Medicago truncatula: one gene and its partners. The main gene of each other region encodes a partner of the protein of the gene in region 2 in a complex. Links are inferred from orthologs where the notes say so. Each region holds a gene or a part of one and is shown on either strand. Other genes may lie near its edges.

The links.
Region 1: 50S ribosomal protein 5, chloroplastic (region 2) and 50S ribosomal protein L28, chloroplastic share a complex: the UniProt entries of both Arabidopsis thaliana proteins name them as parts of the 50S ribosomal subunit. The link is inferred for Medicago truncatula from reciprocal best matches to the Arabidopsis thaliana genes PSRP5 and PRPL28.
Region 3: 50S ribosomal protein 5, chloroplastic (region 2) and 50S ribosomal protein L3, chloroplastic share a complex: the UniProt entries of both Arabidopsis thaliana proteins name them as parts of the 50S ribosomal subunit. The link is inferred for Medicago truncatula from reciprocal best matches to the Arabidopsis thaliana genes PSRP5 and AT2G43030.

What each region holds. Positions count from the first base shown.
Region 1 is NC_053042.1:15,742,776-15,746,370, reverse strand, and holds 50S ribosomal protein L28, chloroplastic, read right to left. Parts: upstream 2,645-3,595; 5' UTR 2,584-2,644; coding exon 2,484-2,583; intron 2,386-2,483; coding exon 2,278-2,385; intron 966-2,277; coding exon 733-965; 3' UTR 521-732; downstream 1-520.
Region 2 is NC_053048.1:41,272,691-41,275,515, forward strand, and holds 50S ribosomal protein 5, chloroplastic, read right to left. Parts: upstream 1,431-2,825; 5' UTR 1,347-1,430; coding exon 1,265-1,346; intron 1,152-1,264; coding exon 808-1,151; 3' UTR 607-807; downstream 1-606.
Region 3 is NC_053044.1:58,756,408-58,759,655, reverse strand, and holds 50S ribosomal protein L3, chloroplastic, read right to left. Parts: upstream 1,688-3,248; 5' UTR 1,606-1,687; coding exon 1,077-1,605; intron 976-1,076; coding exon 686-975; 3' UTR 532-685; downstream 1-531. UniProt on the Arabidopsis thaliana protein: One of the primary rRNA binding proteins, it binds directly near the 3'-end of the 23S rRNA, where it nucleates assembly of the 50S subunit.

The DNA of each region.
Region 1 (3,595 bases), on a different chromosome or scaffold from region 2:
GTTAACATTTTCTTGTCATCAATGGAAAATTAACTTTTATAAACTAGATGTGTATTAAATCATTCTCAAGCATGGGTACTCTTAAAAATACGACTTGTAAAAATATGAAGTACACAATACCCGTGTATGGTACTCGTGGTATTTCAATTTTGTTCATTATTTAATTGTGACTTTCTCTTCTATATTGATATGATAATAAAGTAATATATGAATTTTTGTTGTTGTTCTAACCAACACTAATTTTTTTTTTTTATTCTTTTTTAACTTTTATTGTGATGTTTTTGTTGTAAATTGAAGAACTTAATTGTCTCATGTTATATTGTATAACAAAACTCATGATTCTTTTAAAGTACCCATACCTTAAAGTTTTTAGAAATTGTTGTATTCTCGTACCTGTATGCGTATCGTACCAGGTACTGTACCCGTACCGCACCTATGCAACATCGCTAGATTATAATTGAATGCAAAATGTAACATTGAAGGCTGAAATTCCCAGTGCTACGGTCCAGGATAAATGTTTAGGGGATGATCAAAGAGATTTCCATTTGTAAGATTCATGACATAGTAAACTCACAAACTTCATATTTGTTTACATAACTCAAGTTGCTTTTGACCATAGCCAGAATCAACCCCAGTCCCTAAAAATAATACAGAAAGAAAATAAATTCTACAACAAAAATTAATGAACATGGATCCATCCTTTTACTCAATTACAATCATAATCTTGTTCTCTCATTTCTTACTGAGATCAATTCCAGCCTTTTTTGCAACTGCATCAAGTCCATTCTTCTCTATGGTTTTCAACGCCTTAGTTGACAAACGAAGCTTTACAAAGCGCTTCCCAGCTTCCCACCAAACTCGCTTGTACTGGAGGTTTACAAACTGCAATTTCTTTGTCTTATGGTTTGAAAAGGATACTTTGTTGGCCCTGTTTGATTTCTTTCCGGTGAAGGGACACACCCTCTCTGAAAAAATAAAACCAAAGTATACCAAGTTAAATTGATTTACAATAATAATAATAATCAGGATTTGCAGTAGCATCCTTTAGACAATGATGATGTAGTTTGGCATCAAATAGCAATAACCAAATGTGTTTTTTTTGGGTGAACCCATGGTATCTCTAACTAAGAGCCAAAAACTTATTATTTAATGGATTGACATCTCATAACATATGTCCTTCTGTGCAAACAGGTCTTAAACTGAATCACTAACCCCATTTTTAACACTAATCATATAAGGTAACATATGTTATATACAAACAGGTCATGTAATAAACTTCTACCAACATGCTTAAAAAACTCAGTTATAGGTAAATCGTACCGCACCATGTTATGCATGTTCTGTTATTCTCTTATATATAAAAAAGAATTGTTACTATAGGCAAACATAAACTAAGAAGGGTATTTATCTGTCACTCTATCGATGAAAGCTGGAGTAAATATCAGTGCAAAACTTCTCTGTCCGCAATAAAATATGAAAAATATTTATTAACCAACAGCAATATGTTACTTTTTAAATAAATAAAAAGTACACAAACCATAGTTGGTCACTTAAAGGTAGCCATTTCTTCCCTATCCATATTGTTATGAAAATAAAAGGTTTCCAATTTCTATTAATCTGTTCACTTAACACAAGATTCAACAAAGAAAACTCTTCCTTTAATATACCTAAGACTGAAACAAATATCACTTAATCACATTCTACCAAAAAACAAGGAATTATTGCATAAAGACGGTGATTACTGGAACAACTTATCAGAAACTCAATAACATTAAAGTAACTTCAATAAGTGCTTATGATACAAGTATTACTCCCGCAAGAAACAAACTAGTATGTAGCATTCACACTTCAAATTGAAGACGTGTCACGTGTTAGAGTCAACACTGGCACGAAATCGACAAAATTTAAGTACTTCCATTCTTTAAAAATTAGAGCAATGACACGAAATCGACAAAATTAGAGAAATGACATGAGTTAGTGTCAAACACCGGCACAACATCAATAACATTTTATAATTTCCATTTATTAAAACATAAACTAGCAACAGACCCGTGCTCCACACGGTCCGCGTGTCAAAACGCACGCATTTGTTTGTATATCACACAATTAGATTAGGAAAAAATTAATGAAAAATATGACATTACATTAAAAATAAAAAAAGATCAGAAGAATTGTTAAATTTAAAAATGAAAATGTGGGCAGCACACTATACATATACATAGTTCATAACATGGTGAAAATGAGAGTGAATATGAATTATTGGTTTCAATAACTTACTAGCAACAATTGGTTGAAAGGGAGAAGCAACAATTGGTGTGGGCAATTTAAGCGAAGTCTGAGACGAGATTTTGAGACCGCTTAACTGAGAATTCAAGAACCCTAATTCTGAAATCACAAAAATTATATAATTGAACAACACAGATTTAGCAAAAAATAAATAAAAAAATGAAATTGAGATGAAGTTAGTTAAGTTAGTTAGTTACGGGGTGAGAATGAAGAGGGTTTGTGAGTGTTGGTTGATGAAATTGAGCGCATAGAAGCGAAGACGAAGGTGTTTCCAAGTGATACTGCAGAACCCGCCATTGTTCTTTCTTTTCTTTTTTCTTCTTCTTATCCAACCCAATCTTATTTGCCTCTTCTCAAATTATCTACCTTCAAATAATTTGTTTTTTATTAGGAAAATAGATAAATGATCCTTTTTTTTTTTTTTTTTTTACAAGAATCTCTTATTTATAAATGTTAATCCGTCAAATTATCCCATTAACTATATTTATGTAGAAAAAGTTTATTATTGTTGTGATTCCACCATTTTTTTTTTAATGAAAATTCAAATAATATATCTAATCAATATTCAAAGTACAAGATGTGTCACTGTCAAGAGTGAAACCAAATTATTATAGAATAATGCGGGTAATTTGTATAAAAAAGAATAAAGCGGATAATAACAATATTCAACTACCAAATAAAGCAAAATAGTGCAAATTTCATGCCCCAATAACATCAACAATCCAAAAATTAAAATCTCAAACATTTAAAATATCATAATACCTCGAAGTTAAAACTATTTTCCTTTGATATGAACCAATATTGAGATTAATTTTTCAACATAATCGAAAGGTTGAGAAAAATTTACACCAAAATAATATTATTTATCACTTTTTATATAATTCAAATGCAAGATAACTAAATAATTTTTTTTTTCTTTTTTCTTTCTTTCAATAACATCTTCCTTATAAACTTAGGCAACAAAATTGATACGCATAATCCAAAACCACATTAATAAAAGTGTTATGAATATCCAACCAACCAAAATCAACTCTCCACACTAGGAAGTGTAGGACATTTATCGAATAGATAAGATATGTTGTGTAGATTCTTCAAAGGGAGCTTCTACGGTTCAGTCAGGAAATTGATTTTTTTGAAAAAGTTAATTTTGATTTTAATGTTTGATTTCATTTTTAAATTGTTGATTGCTGATTAATAATCAATAGTAATTCATCTAGTAATGCTTGCAACATCTTGGATTTACAGGTACTATTTTATCGTTGGAATCTTTAACATGCATACATAGTTGATGATATTATGTGATAGTTTT
Region 2 (2,825 bases):
GAACAGGAATTTGATTGTTGTGAGGCATGATAAGTAACGCAACTATAAGGATTCAATACCAGAGCAATGATACCATATCAGAGATGAATTTCAGGACAGTGAAGATAGAAATCCATAGGAGAAAAGATGAAAAATCTGAGAAAACTCGGAGAAAGATTTGATTGTTCTTGTTTGATGAATTAGAAATGTACTAGGAAGAGACATTTACAGTTGACACGACACAAATAATTTGAAAAAATGAATAATTGAATATAACCATATGTATCGGACACGGACACACGTGTTGAACACCGGACACACCTATAATGAGAAGTGTCGGTGCTAAACTATATAGATTCCAAATTAAACTCCTATTTCAATGAGAAACACTCATGGTTACGAGCAATGCACCGACGATAACCAACGAAAAGTGTTGACCAGCTAATTCACCCAAATACAGAGTTATATTTGCTCCACTCTTTGCACCTATTCATTTGTTGGTTTTCGTCGCTAAGCTCATCGTACCAAATAACACTCATCTTTCAATATTAACCAAAATGGGACTAAGTAAAAATATCCAAACACATGAATCATATCATTGATTCCAAATCAAACCATATTTAAATATTAACCAAATGTAAGGCATCTACATATAAACTAAAACCCTTGATTGAAAATGAACAAAAATTGTCAAAATACATACATGATACATTGTAGAATGATTAAGAAAATAACAAAAAATAAAAAACTAAATTGTTGAGAATAAGGGAAAGAATCAGAGGTACAATAAGAAGAAATCAGGATTAAACCTGCAAACAGATATAATCTTCAAACACTCTTCAATTTCTTCATCTTGGAAGGTGGCCAATTACCCTTCTTCCTCAACTTCCTCTTTTGAACAAGTCTCTTTCTCCTCAACCTTATCTTCTTATCAAGCTTCATCTTCAACCTCTTCTCCTCCCTCTCCTTCAATTTTGATTCCAAAGGAAGCTTATCTACAGAAACAGCATCACTCTCTTTCTTGCTTTCACTTTCAGACCCATCTGCAACATTGGATTCAGCAGTTGCAGATACAATAGAAATTGCATTTTTCCTTGGTTTCACGACAAAGGGTGTCGAGATTTGAAGCCCCTTCAATGAGTTTGTGGGTAAACCAACGTGCACTCTTGAAACTGATAAACAAAAACATAGTTCGAGAAAACTAAGATAAAAGAAACAACAAGAATAATAAAAACATGAGAATGTATTTTGGAGAAATTAAGGAAGAAGAAGTGATGGTACTTACTTGGGGTTGTGGTGGGAATTGGGAAAATGGAGGAAGAAGAAAGAGGTGTCAGCGTGAAGAGATTGGAGCATAGAAGTGCCATGGTGTTGTGTTTTTTTTTTTTGTTCAATTGAAGAATTTGAGAAAGATGAGAATTGATTTATGGATAAGAAGGCACAACATGTGTGACACACCACTTTTTGAGTTTATTAACTTTTTTGTTACCACTTTATATCACGGTTAAATATTAGGGGTTTTGTTTTTGAATGATAAAATATGGGTTTGAACATGACGAGTAAATAGTCAATTATCTTTCTGAAATTGTAAGTTTCGTCAATTATCCCCTTAAAATTAATAAAATATCAATTACCCTCCTGAAATTGCACAACGTTAATCAATTTACCCCCTCCGTCAAATTCTTCTGTCAGTGAACATAAAATTTTGCACATAAGTGTAAAACTCCAGGGGAGTATTTGCAAAACGTCATGTTTACTAACGAAAAAATTTGACGAAGAGGGTAAATTGATTAACGTTGTGCAATTTCAGGGGGGTAATTGACATTTTGTTAATTTTAGGGGGATAATTGATGAAACTTACAATTTCAGGGGGTAATTGACTATTTACTTGAACATTGATAGATTATCAACAATCAACATGTTTTTGGAAGAGTTTTTTACCCGAGCATTGCTATGCACTACGGGATAATTATTCACTGGATTTGACGAAACTCAAAAAACACTAACTATTCAAGGGTAAGGGTAAAGTGGTCATATAGAAATGGATTGAGGATAAAAATGTAAGGCTTAAATATGAAAATGGTTCCTGCAAATATCTGCCGTTTTGGTTTTAGCTCTTATAAAAATATTTTTTTGGTTTTAGTCTCTGCAAATATAGAATATTTGGTTTTTGTCTTTGGTATTTTGTTTTAATCGTTGTAAAATCATTTCATATTGAAATTGGTCTCTATAATATTCATTTTAGTCCTCATTTTGAGGGACTAAAATCAAATATTCTACATATTACAATGACCAAATCCAATATGAATCAATTTTACAAGGACTAAAACAAAATACCAAGGACCGAAACCAAATTTTTTATATTTGGAGGGACTAAAATCAAAAAAAATATTTTTATAGGGACTAAAACCAAAATATTTTTACAGGAACTAAAACCAAAATGTAATAACAAATTCACAGTAAGTGCATTCGTTGTTTTCCGTTTAACTGATTTCGTACTATTAAGCATTTCCGTTTTTACCCTCCTACAAGAAAATGAATCATTTCGAGAGTTGTTTATTTAAAAAATAGTTCTACATCCGATTTGATGATTAGTCTTATACTTCTATTAATACTAAAGGGTATAAATCTTTGTTGAATTTGGTGGAGAATATCAGGTGCATTCATTTGTGTGCGAGTTTCAATTGTTATTTTTTCACTTTGTTCTACTAAAAACATGTATTTATTTGACAATATTTGATTGATTTCACATGTAAGAAAAAATTACGTCGTGGGTATCTCAAAACTAAATTCTTCAATTTAAGTAAATACTCTTTACAATGTGAATGTGTATAAACTAAATCTTT
Region 3 (3,248 bases), on a different chromosome or scaffold from region 2:
TTTCTTCCTTCTACCACAAGCTCCATTGAAAAGGGAGCTCAAAGACACATCACACTACCTTGGTTCAAGAGTGATGGTGATGTTGGTAGTGAAAGTGGAAATGGAAAAAGAAAGGAGGCATTAGAGGGTGAAGGTTGTTTATTTTTTCATGACAAGTACAAGCTTTATTAACATCTAAATTTTGTATGCTGTTGGAAGTATGGCTATAAAGCAATATTTATAGGAAAAAGCATATCAGAGGCCATGTCTCTTAAGACAGTTTGGTTTAACTCAGGAACTCAGTGGTTGTTGAAGACAAACAAGAGAGTTTCAATACATTATATATCAGTTGAACAGAAACTTAAGAATATTCCTTGTTAAGCCCATGACAACAATGGGAGATGCATTAAAAATAAATTCAACTAGGGTTAAGGAAAAAGTTAATAGCATTAAAAACTTCCAGTTCTAGTTTAGAGTTTAGAACGACCAATTCCTTTGTGTCCATGAACTTCATGCTGCACCATCAAATTGATCAAATAGCAAACCAACCAATAAGTGAAAAAAAATGATCTGCCTAAGACATGATTTATTGTAAAACATTATAACATTGCATCCAATCTCAGTTACTGAGAAATGTTTGTTTTGATTGTTATTTTCGTACTTAACAGGTGAATACAGACAAGTAGTTAAGAAGGAAAAAGAGTAATTAATTCTTTGGAATGTTCTTGCCAACAATCTTGGCGGGGGCTATACGTAGAAGATTACCAGGCTTACCAGGAAGAGCACCTTTGATCATGATAACATTAAGATCTTTATCAATTTTAACAATCTTAAGCTTTCTGGTCTTCCTGTTAGTTCCACCCATCCTACCAGGCATCTTCTTTCCCTTGTATACGCGACCAGGTGTAGTTCCGGCACCAATGGATCCAAGTTGTCTGTGACTCTTGGAACCATGGCTCATTGGTCCTCTTTTGAAGTTATGACGCTTGATACCACCTGTCATTGTCAAAGTAAGTTCATACATTAGTGATAGATATTATTATCAACTTAACTTGGACACTAGAAGGGAATGCAAAGAGAGGGAGAGAGTTACAGACCTTGAAAACCCTTGCCGATGGTGGTGCCGGAGACATCAACAAGATCTCCTTCATTGAAAAGCTCATCAAAGACAAGGCGCTGATTAGGTTCAAAACCATCAACGGATTGAAGACGAAACTCCTGAAGATGGCGCATAGGAATGGCTCCGGCCTTTTCAAGATGACCCATTTCAGGTTTGGTCAATTTGCGGTCTCTAACCCTCCGGTAACCAACTTGTACGGCGTTGTAACCGTCAGTGGCGTCGGTTTTGATCTGAGTGACGATGTTGCCTTCTTTGAAACCGACAACAGTGACGGGAACTACTTCACCGTTAGGTTGGAAAAAGCTCATCATTCCCAATTTGGTACCCATGACACCAACACCAGCCTCTAAGCTCATTTTCACCACCATCGCTCCTCCTCTTTTTCTTTGGTGCTGCTGCAATTTCACAAATTGAGCAGAAAAAGAAGTTGAGAAGGAAAGTGAAGAAGAAGAAGAAGAATTAGAACAAGGTATTGAAATGGAGAATGGAGAAGAAATGATAGACATATTGAATCAATTGACGACGCTCGACTGTGTTTATGTTATCTATCTCAAGAGAGAGACAGAGAAGAGAAGAGAATGAAACACAACAGCAACAACAGCAAAGCTTATCTTATTCCATCCAATTTCATTTCAATACCCGACCCGCCCCGCACCAATTTCATTTTTTTTTTTTAAATAAACCCTCCATTAAAAAAAATTAAAATTAACTTTTTACACTTTTTTTTATTGGCTTCATGTTGTTAAAGAAAAGTTAGCCAACAAAAAGCTTTTCTAAATTGTGACATAGTATCAACCAAATGTTACACATTTAGTTAAAAATAATAATAATCAAAAGTCATACATATACATCTTTTTTAAAGGATTATACATATACACTTTAATTACCACAACATTATATCATTTTAATTATTCTTTTACTAAAATTCTAACATTCTGAAAAACTAAAATCCATGATCCCTACCACTTGTGTTTCCGCAAAATCAACTATGTATTTCTCGAACAACAATTCACGTATTGTTCTCAATTAATTTAAAGCTAACAATTGATTGTCCCGTGAACTTAGTTTGATTGGTAAAGATAATGCATAATATATGATTAAATGTTTAAACATGATAGTTCAGATAGAAACTTGTTTACAATTTATTTTATATTTCATAGCCATGTTTAAACATTTTTTAAAATATATTTTCCATATTTAATCTAATATTTGTTTTCGTCTTCTTTTATTTTATTCGTTTTAGTCTTATATCTTTCAAGACTTTTTTTGACAAGTCAAGACAAATAGTTATATTTGATAAATATACGAGAAAAGAATAAAATATCTATATGACCAAAATAAATGAATAATTGGTAAAAGATAAATGATAAAAATATATTTTAGCACTTTTTATTTCATTACTAAATGTATTTGTTTCAATCAACCTCACTTTCTTTCTAGTATTATAATATGGAGAAAACTTAGATACAATTCCTTAGGTATTTTTCATATGGTTCTTAACTAAAAATACATATTTTTTTGGATATAACAAACTTTGAGAAAATTATGGATTTGAGAAAATCATGGTGAATATAGTTAAGAATCATACGAAAAACACATAAGAAATTGTACCTAAATTTTCTCCTTACAATATATTACAAATAATTTAAGCCAAAAAAAATCACTCTCTCCAATTTAGTTTTTAATGTATATACAAAATAAAAATTAACCTCTAAAGTATATTAAATCCATCAATTTAATCTCTAAAATATATGAAATCATGTCAATTTAGTCTTAAGATCTTCCTAGCAAGAATAAAATCGACGGATATGACATACTTTTAAAACTATTTATTATACTTAAAAATGAAAATGAAGAGAGACTAATATATTATAGACTAAATTGATAGTTTTATTAACTATATTGCATAAATTTAAGTCTAAGAGTTATTGCACTCTTATAATTGTATTTTAAATTTAATTTTGAAAAATAAGTTTATTCACTATATTTCCACAAAAATATCATTAAAATAACTCAATAAATTTTGTTTAATTTTGACGGATGGAGTCTCTTCTCTCTCTTCACCATCATTTATAAAAAAGTAACATAAATTTTAAATCTGATTTACCAATGGACAAATGTATTGATTCACACATTGAGTTAAACCATC